Macaca mulatta: one gene and its partner. The protein of the gene in region 1 purifies or fractionates together with the protein of each later gene. This does not show direct contact. Links are inferred from orthologs where the notes say so. Each region holds a gene or a part of one and is shown in the gene's direction. Other genes may lie near its edges.

Region 1 (4,456 bases):
TGTCTTTAGAATGTGTCCCTTGCCTATATCCATATTCATGCTCCGTGCTCCTCAGCCCCCTAGAAACTTTGCACAATAGGTTCAAAACCTCTGGTTTCCTCCCTTCTTCTGTCTGAAAGAGCAAAAGAAGGAAGCCAGGGGTTCTAGGGGGCAGGCAGGCAGCAATTTCACCACCCCTAGGCAATCACACCTAGTTGCAGCTTCATTGGGAACAGCTCAGCTCTGAAAATACAGACCTGGGACTCTCCCTCCCAGCCTTCCGGCTCTCGTTCCTGTGAGCAGCTTTTCAACCTCCACTTTGAGCCGCTGACAGGCCTTCCTGGCGCCACAAGGTCAGCTAACATACCCACCTTCCACAATCCCCAGCCCTGCCAGACATAACCTGCAACAGGCATTCCTGGATCAATGCAAACTCCGACTTCTGTTCCAGGAGTCTGCCTCCTTTGAAAAAACTCACACAAATTTGCGTGCTGTCCCACTGTAAATGCTGTATAAGATGGCCAGGCCCAATCAGTCCCCGCAAGACACCGAATAAGAACTATCTATGGAGTGTTTACTATGTGCCAAGCACGGTCCTGATCACTTTGCAAGCACTATTAACCCTCAAAATAACACCACCGTGAGATTGAGACCATCATGATTCGCGTTCTACAGAAGGGAACACTGAGACTCTAGGAGGTCAGGACCTTTCTAGGGTCACAACTGCGTAACTAAGCTGCAGAGCTCAATCCGGCGGCACTTCCATCTCACAGGCAGCTGTCTGATGGTCAAGAGCCCAACCAGTCCCCCGGTCGTTTCTACCTCACTAAACCGCTGTGTCAAGCTGGAGCAGCGGGTTCAGCAGTGAAAATGAAAGAACAGAAGGAGGTTAGAGAAAAGAACGGTCACGGTAAATTCTGGAGAGGAGGCAAGGACGTACACACCGAGAAACTTCCTGGTCACCGTTACTCAGCACTTTGTGAGGTTCACGGGGCTGGGGATGGCCAGGGCGTGGCGGGACTTTTCGAGGAATCCAGCCCTGCCTGGGCGGTCCCAGGACTGTCCCCATCTCGAGCGTGGGCGCGTTCGATTCAGGCGCGGCGGACGCATCCCCAGGTGACCTGGGAAAGACCTTGTGTCTCTGGGGGTGACTGTCCGTCTCCCTGCCTCCCACCGTCACGCGCAGTGCTGATCCCCACTTCCAGCTGGGGCGCGAGCTAGGCTTGGAGGCGCAGGAGCCGAAGCCCTGGAGCTCCGCCCCACGCTTGCGCCAGCCCCGCCCCGATCCCGGCTCGCAGGCTCCAGGGGCGGGGCGTGGCCGGGGCGCAGCGGCGGGCGCGGAGGTCCGGGCGGGCGCGCGCGCCCCCGCCACACGCACGCCGGGCGTGCCCGTTTATAAAAGGAGAGCAAGCGGCGACTCAAGCTCGGTTTGGTGCTTTGGATCCGTTTCCATCGGTCCTTACAGCCGCTCCTCAGACCCCAGCAGCAAAGATGGTGAAGCAGATCGAGAGCAAGGTACGCGCTCCCGGGGAAGGCCGGGGCGCCGGCGCCGCGGGCGGCCTCTGTAGCTGGGGAAGGCGGTGGCGGGAGATGCGGAGGCCGCCCTTCTGCATCGCCGGGGGAAAGGGACGCGGCGTCTCGGCCTGGGACTGAGGGAAGCGGCGGCCTGGGCGCGCCCAAGGCGGTGGAGCCTGCCCTGGTGGAAGGGAAGAGAGGGACGAGGGTCCCCTGGAGGGCGGAGTGGCGGTATCCAGCGTTGCCCGCACCCTGTGCCCCGGGGGGTTGCACGCACGCGGGGAGCGCCCGGGAGATGTGAGAGCGCGGGCAGCGTGAGGAGCCCCCACGCTGCCCTTCCTGCACCATCCCGTCCGGGCAGCCCCGACTGGAGGAAGGCGAGGGAATAGAAGGGGTCCGCCCTTGGCCCCCTTCTGTATCCAGATTCAGGCCCTAGGCAAGGATAGAGAGGGCCCCTTGCAGAAGGCACGGGTCGCTGGCCGCCGCTGCCTTTCCGTATGCGAAGTGATCCACCCGCAGCGGGGGTAGTGATCTCCCTTGGGAGCTGGTCTAGGCCGGAGACCCTCAGCTGCTTCCACCCATTCCCGGCCCCAAAGGTGACGCGTGCTGTATCCGCACTAAGGAGGCGGATTGCGGCTGGAGACCCCTTGGCACGTGCAGGTCTGGCCAGGAGGCCAGAGGGCCCCAGGTGACCGCGAGGAAGTGAGGTCCGGGCCGCGCCCACGGGACTCCTGTGGCTCAGTGCGTGTTTCCGGCAGCAGTGGCTTTGGAATGACTCAGTCCCCAAGGTTGGGCCCGGGGGCCCCGGCTGCCCTGCCCGTCCGTGATTCACCCTCAGTCGGTGGGTTTTGCTGGAGCCAGGGTTCCTCCTGGGTGCAGCCGCGCCTTGCTGCCTGCTCGCCGACCTATCGGTATCCCGATCGATGTTTGTCCTTTTAAAAATGCCCAAGGCAAAACAGACTTCCCATGTTTGAAAGTTATTGCAAGCCTAAAACCTTCTAGACTGGGAAACCCAGAGCCTAACACGCAGTGTCTAATGTAGCCATTCCAGAAATATTTGTTAAATGCAGCGTCAGAAAAGTGAGTGGAGGAAATTGATACTGCCCGAACGGTAGAAGACCCCTCGCCAGCGCCTACCCTGCGATGACCCCTCCCCACCCGCGGGAAGCAGGGGAGGGCGGATCCTCGCCCGCCTTGAGTGCCCTGACCTGTTTGGTGCCGGGTGGGCTTCGGAAACAGAAGTGTGTCTGCAATGTGTCCCCGATCCTTTTGTGCCTTTGATTGTTATTGACTCAGTATTTTTTTCCTCGTATGTTGATTGCCACTGTAGTCTTTTATCTTCCTCTTAATCAGTATTTTCTTAGTGGGATTCTCATTTTAGCAGCCCTCATGTGTTGAAAAGATCCTTAGTAGTGAATTGTCTTTCATATACTTTTTTCCAAGCACCTATTGTGTGACAAATTTTAGTCCATTCCTGGGGAAGGGAGTGGGGCTGGGATTCTGTTCTCCAGGGTCTGGCAACCTCAGTATAACCGAACTGCTGAGAACCCCCCGCCACGGAGCCAGAAGACCTTTGAGTGGTCTATGTTAGTTGTCACAGTATCCAGTTACTACAAACAGAAAGTTGATTAGGATTTCTGGAGCACAGTTTAGTCCTCCCAGTTGTCAGAGCATGGTGGCACCTTCCTCTTCTACCAGTGACAAAGGTGTACAAGGGTGACAGGAACTTTAAAAAAAGCACTACAGCCTGGGGCCCACAGGCCCTGATAATCAATCCTCAAAGTAACAATCCAAAGTCATTGATCGAAAGTTACACTAATTTGATTGTTATTTGTTAGTTTGTTTTTTGAGACGGAGTTTTGCTTTTGTTGCCCTGGCTGGAGTGCAGTGGCTTGATCTTGGCCCACTGCAACCTCCACCTCCCGAGTTCAAGCGATTCTCTTGCCTCAGCCTCTTGAGTAGCTGGGATTACAGGCATGCGCCGCCACGCCCGGTAATTTTGTATTTTTAGGAGAGACGGGGTTTCACGATATTGGTCAGGTTTGTCTCGAACTCCTGACTTAAGGTGATCCACCAACCTCGGCTTCCCGAAGTGCTAGGATTACAGGTGTTAGCCACCGCGCCCAGCCTGTTATTTGTAAATGTTGAATATATCTTACGTTTTCATCCTAATGGACTAAATTGGCATCATTGGTCATTGAGAACAATTCTGTTTCTGAGGTAGTCTGTTAGTACGTTAGGGCCGACTGGGATCTATTTCAGAGAGGAATGGAATAATTGATTGTAAATGTGATGAGGAAGAAATAAACTTTAAAAAAAAGAAGAAGAAGAATGACACCTACCATTTATTCAACTCCCATCCACAAGGCACTTGGCTAAATACTTCAGAAACCACTCACACTTACTACCTTCAGAGTAGGTATGTTTAAGCAAAGAGATCTTAGACTCTGCTCCTATTTACCCCAACTACATTGTTTTGCTTCCCCCAGATTATTGGTGTCAGTGATGGAGACATTTATTAATAGTAACTGTTAGTTTCTGTGATTTCTTCTTAGTAATATACTCTTGAATAATTTTCAAGCTGATACCCGTTTGGAAGTATCAGAAGAGAGCTTGTACATGAAGCCTGCACATACCTGGGGTGTAACTCATGTTCATTTAGGCTAAAAGTTACTGTTGCATGCCTCTTTTCAGAATTTTAGGTACTTGTGTTTAAATTTGATTCAGAACTGTTTTGGAAAAGCCTTGAGTATGTTTGAAATACCTTCCCTCTTGAAAGTAATCTGAAGTTTTCAATGAGGGTCAATCATGTTAAAAAAACAAAAATGTCTATTCCAGACGTTGGCATTTCTTGACCTTTTTTCCTATCTCACCTGGATCTTGCAGTAAAGGATGCTTGGTTTAACTTTCTTGAAAATCACATTAGGGAAGGCTTTGAATGAAATTGATCTGGAACAATCAG
Region 2 (4,244 bases), on another chromosome or scaffold:
ACTAAAGAGAGATGAAGCTGGAAGAGGTGCGTAGGGGCCAGGTTGTTAACAGCTGTGGTGCTATCTTTTCTTTTTTCTTTTTCTTTTCTTTTCTTTTTTTTTTGAGACTGGCTCTGTCTCACAGGCTGGAGTGGCGCGATCTAGGATCACTGCAACTTCCGCCTCCTGGGTTCAAACGATTCTCCTGCCTCAGCCTCCTGAGTAGCTGGGTCTACAGGCGCACACCATCACGACTGGCTAATTTTTTTGTATTTTTTTAGAGACTTCACCATGTTGGCCAGGCTGGTCTCGAACTCTCGATCTCAAGTGATCCGCCCGCCTCGGCTGCCCAAAGTGCTGGGATTACAGGCGTGAGCCACTGCGCCTGGCCTGTGATGCTATCTTTTCAGGAAAGGAAAAAAAAAAAAATCTTGAACACCTATGCTAGGTGCTAGGAGATAAAACAAGGAACGCAGACCTGCTCCCTGTGTCTTGAAACTTAAAATCTTGCATGGATAGAGAAATGAGATGGAGAAAAAAGAAAACCTAAAACACGTAAACTAATTTAAAAAAATAATTGAACATTGTATTAACTGTAGGAAGAAAACAAACCAGTTGCCGAGATTAATTACGCTTTGGGAACAAATGCGGTTCACAGGAGTACCAAAGATTTAACTGTAACCTATTATAAGAACTGAGTACTGGACATTTTCAGAACAGTAATGGCACATAATTCACAGCAGTGCCAAAGATTTAACTGTAACCTATTATAAGAACGGAGTACTGGACATTTTCAGATCAGTAATGGCACATTATGCATATGTAGATGTTAATTTTTACCGACACCCAAAAAGACATGACAATAGCAATCAAGGAGTACCCACTGCCTCCTGGCATCGATAGAAAAAGCCCATCTGCAAGTTAAGTGCCAAGCCACCACGAGCCCGTTAGCTTTTACGCATGTGCAGTGAGTCATCTTGAAGTAAACTGGAATGCCATGTTTATCTTCCTCTCAACCAGCTTCCAGAACGACTTTTAGCTCAGTTGTACAACAGACGGCCTTACCCTTTAGTCTTTCAACAAACTTATCTCATTTAAGGTACCTAGACCCACACAAAAACACTTTCTGCCCTCCACATCCCACCGTTAAGGCTCCAACTACCTTTAATATGGCGGAGACCGAGCCTGCGCAGTACAAGCAGAGAAGGCAAATAACAGTTTCTGGAATAACGTTACATGCCCTTCTTCCGGTATGGAAGACTATACCATTCCCATACCCTATAATTCTGTTTGTTCTATTTCACACATACAATTTTCCGAGACAAGATGTTCTAATTTAAGTCACAAGAAGATTCGTCTCTCCCTATTCCTGTAACTGCTGCTTATATCGTCACGTCCCGGAAAGGTCCCTGTCTCTTCCCTGAATGGTCTCTACCAAGTTCACCTCCGGTTCTAGGTGTCATGGCTGCCCCGAGAGTCTAGGTAAGAGTTTGTTCCCGTGGTGCGGAGGGTCAAGGCCCACACCCGGAGACCTAGCGAGGTAAAGTTGCGTCTTGGTTGTAGAGACGACAACTTCTCCGCTTTCTCTGCAATGGCGGCGTCCGGGAGCGGTATGGCTCAGAAAACCTGGGAATTGGCCAACAATATGCAGGAAGCTCAGAGTATCGATGAAATCTACAAATACGACAAGAAACAGCAGCAAGAAATCCTGGCGGCGAAGCCCTGGACTAAGGAGTGAGGAGGTCCCTGGCGAGACGCAGGGGAGGGAAGGGTTGGCGGGAGTTTAAGAGACCCAGAGGGAGAGGGAGGTGAAAGGGGTGAAGAGCTTTCACCGACGGGGAGGGGAACAGAATATGCGCCTTGGATCTGCAAGTAGAGCCTAAGCCCTCCGCTGGGGCTTTGACTTCCCTTTCTGTCGCTTTAATCCATTTACCCCCGGATGATGTAAGGGGAGAACAACAAGCGGTGATTTAAGTTGTCACTTCTGAACGTCCGTATTGTCATATATGCCGCACACCCTGCCTTGAACCCAGTGTCGACATGCACCTTATTTGGGTCTTCAGCTATTCCCTTACTGGGGACCGCAGCTGTTTTCAGAAATCGAGTCAGCAGCTCAAGGTCTCAAAAATAGCTATGAGCTATTTTCTTTTATTTTCTTTTTTAACTAGAGGTGGGTCCTCGCTATGTCGCTCAGGCTGATCCCGAGCTCCTGCCTTCAAGCGATCCTCCCACCTTGGCCTTCCAAAATGCTGGAATTACAGGCGTGAGGCCTGGGTCTATAATAGTTTTTTGATTGCTGATAATTATTTCGGAGGCACACGGAGGCTCTACCTGGTCTCTACAATGTTACTCCATCAGTTCCTATAAGCCAGAAATTTTAAAAATAGAGCTTACGACTTTTTGCCCTTCAACAATACCCATTTTTCCCTGGGAGTGGTGACAAGTCGAGGGATCTTTACCCATAATATTTATGTTTTCCTGAGAGCATCTCCTGAGAGATTTCCTGCTCTCAGGAAAAGATAATTATTACGGGCTATGTTTGAGAGAGAGTAAAAGGAGCACAAAAGCTAATGGTTAGATAGAAATGAGAGCTGCAGTCAACAAGAGGACATACTTCTACTGCCTCACAGTTTTTTTTACAAAGCTAGCCTTGTCTCTCAGTATTCAGATTCCACAATGGTGAATTGCGGAAGCATCTAGCTAGAGATTTCCACGTCATTTAATCTTTATGACAACCCAGTACAGTATATCCATCCTTTTTTTACAAATTAAAAAACAAGCAAATACATTATGTAATTTATGATCACACTGAGATAAGTGAACTCTTAGCTGAGCAATAGTCAGACCTAAGATCAAACTTCACAGCTGTCACTAACTGGTTGACTGACCTTAGGAAATTTACTTATCCATCTTCATTTGTCATAGTATGGAAATAAGACCTACCTATTGGTATTGTCATAGAGATTAGGTGAGATAATGTATAAAAAGAGTCGTCTAGAATATATGTAATAGGAGCACAGTAACTTGTCTTTCTTCTTTTCTCCAGTAAAGGGAGAAGCCAAGATTTCGATTCATGTCTTGATTTCCAACATGAGGTCTACACATTTTTCAGCTTTTGGTTGAAATCTGGCAAAGCTTAGGAATTAAATTTGGATTCTTTCTGTGGGCAGACATCTAAAAAGGCTTTGTAGAGACGTTGACTGACTGCTCTGTAAGGCTGCTTAAGTTGCTTGGTTGTCTGCTTGTTTCTGTAGCAGGTTGTGCATTTTAGGTTTGTGTACTCTTAAATATTTGGAAACTGTCGGCCTGCTTCACTGTCTAATTGTGGCTCTAATTATATTCATCCTAGCTGTCTTGGGCTGCACTAATGAGACCAAAATGTAATTTTATTCAAGAGTTTAATTCATTGATGACCAACTCTGAAATAATGATCATAGAAGACTAGGATATTATGGCTACTTTTTAATTTGAGGCTGATATAACAGGGAAGCCCACCCTTCAACACTCTGTTCTTTGAGAGTAGGGTTAAGAGACAGGTTAATAATGCTGATAACAGCTAGCACTTATTAGGGTTCTAGTATGTGTAAGGTGCTAAGCTAAGCACTTTATATACATTATTTCATTTACTTTATCCTAATAACAATTATGACTATCCCTATTTACAGAAAAGGAAACCTAGGCATAGACATTACATGGTTGTCCCAATACCACAGCTAGGGAATGGCAATGTCAAGATTCAAACCTTAGCAGATGAATGTCAGAACCCACATTCTTAACCATTAGGCCAGAGGTTAGGCCTCAGAACAGTTAGGCACAACCATCCAAGCAGTCAGAATCCAAGATTGGGTGATTCCAGATTAATGGAGAAAAAGTCTATTGAACTGGTCATGTTACTCCCTTATTTAGCATATTAAAAAACTATTTCAGACTTTTCCCCTCCCCCAAGGGGGATGCATTGCAGGACTATAACATACTTATTGTTTCCAGCCTGCAAAAACTGTCCTTTTCTACTTTTTCTCCCCATAGTCTACACTCCCCTTCCATCGCTGTAAATTCCTTCAATACTTACTCTTTATCTTCATAAAAACTTTTCTGAAATTTTACTTTATATAAGAAATTTAATTACATTGTGATTTTGTTTTGCAGTCACCATTACTTTAAGTACTGCAAAATCTCGGCATTGGCTCTACTGAAGATGGTGATGCATGCCAGATCAGGAGGCAACTTGGAAGTGATGGGTCTGATGCTAGGAAAGGTGGATGGTG

The links.
Region 2: the proteins of TXN (region 1) and COPS5 purify together in Homo sapiens (affinity purification with western blotting; 3 studies listed by BioGRID and IntAct, with this or other methods). This does not show direct contact. The link is inferred for Macaca mulatta from reciprocal best matches to the Homo sapiens genes TXN and COPS5.

The regions. Positions count from the first base shown.
Region 1 is NC_133420.1:48,154,303-48,158,758, forward strand, and holds the start of TXN (thioredoxin), read left to right. Parts: upstream 1-1,366; 5' UTR 1,367-1,470; coding exon 1,471-1,494; intron 1,495-4,456. UniProt on the Homo sapiens protein: Participates in various redox reactions through the reversible oxidation of its active center dithiol to a disulfide and catalyzes dithiol-disulfide exchange reactions.
Region 2 is NC_133413.1:77,753,424-77,757,667, reverse strand, and holds the start of COPS5 (COP9 signalosome complex subunit 5), read left to right. Parts: upstream 1-1,437; 5' UTR 1,438-1,570; coding exon 1,571-1,713; exon of another isoform or gene 1,714-1,721; intron 1,722-4,125; coding exon 4,126-4,244. UniProt on the Homo sapiens protein: Probable protease subunit of the COP9 signalosome complex (CSN), a complex involved in various cellular and developmental processes.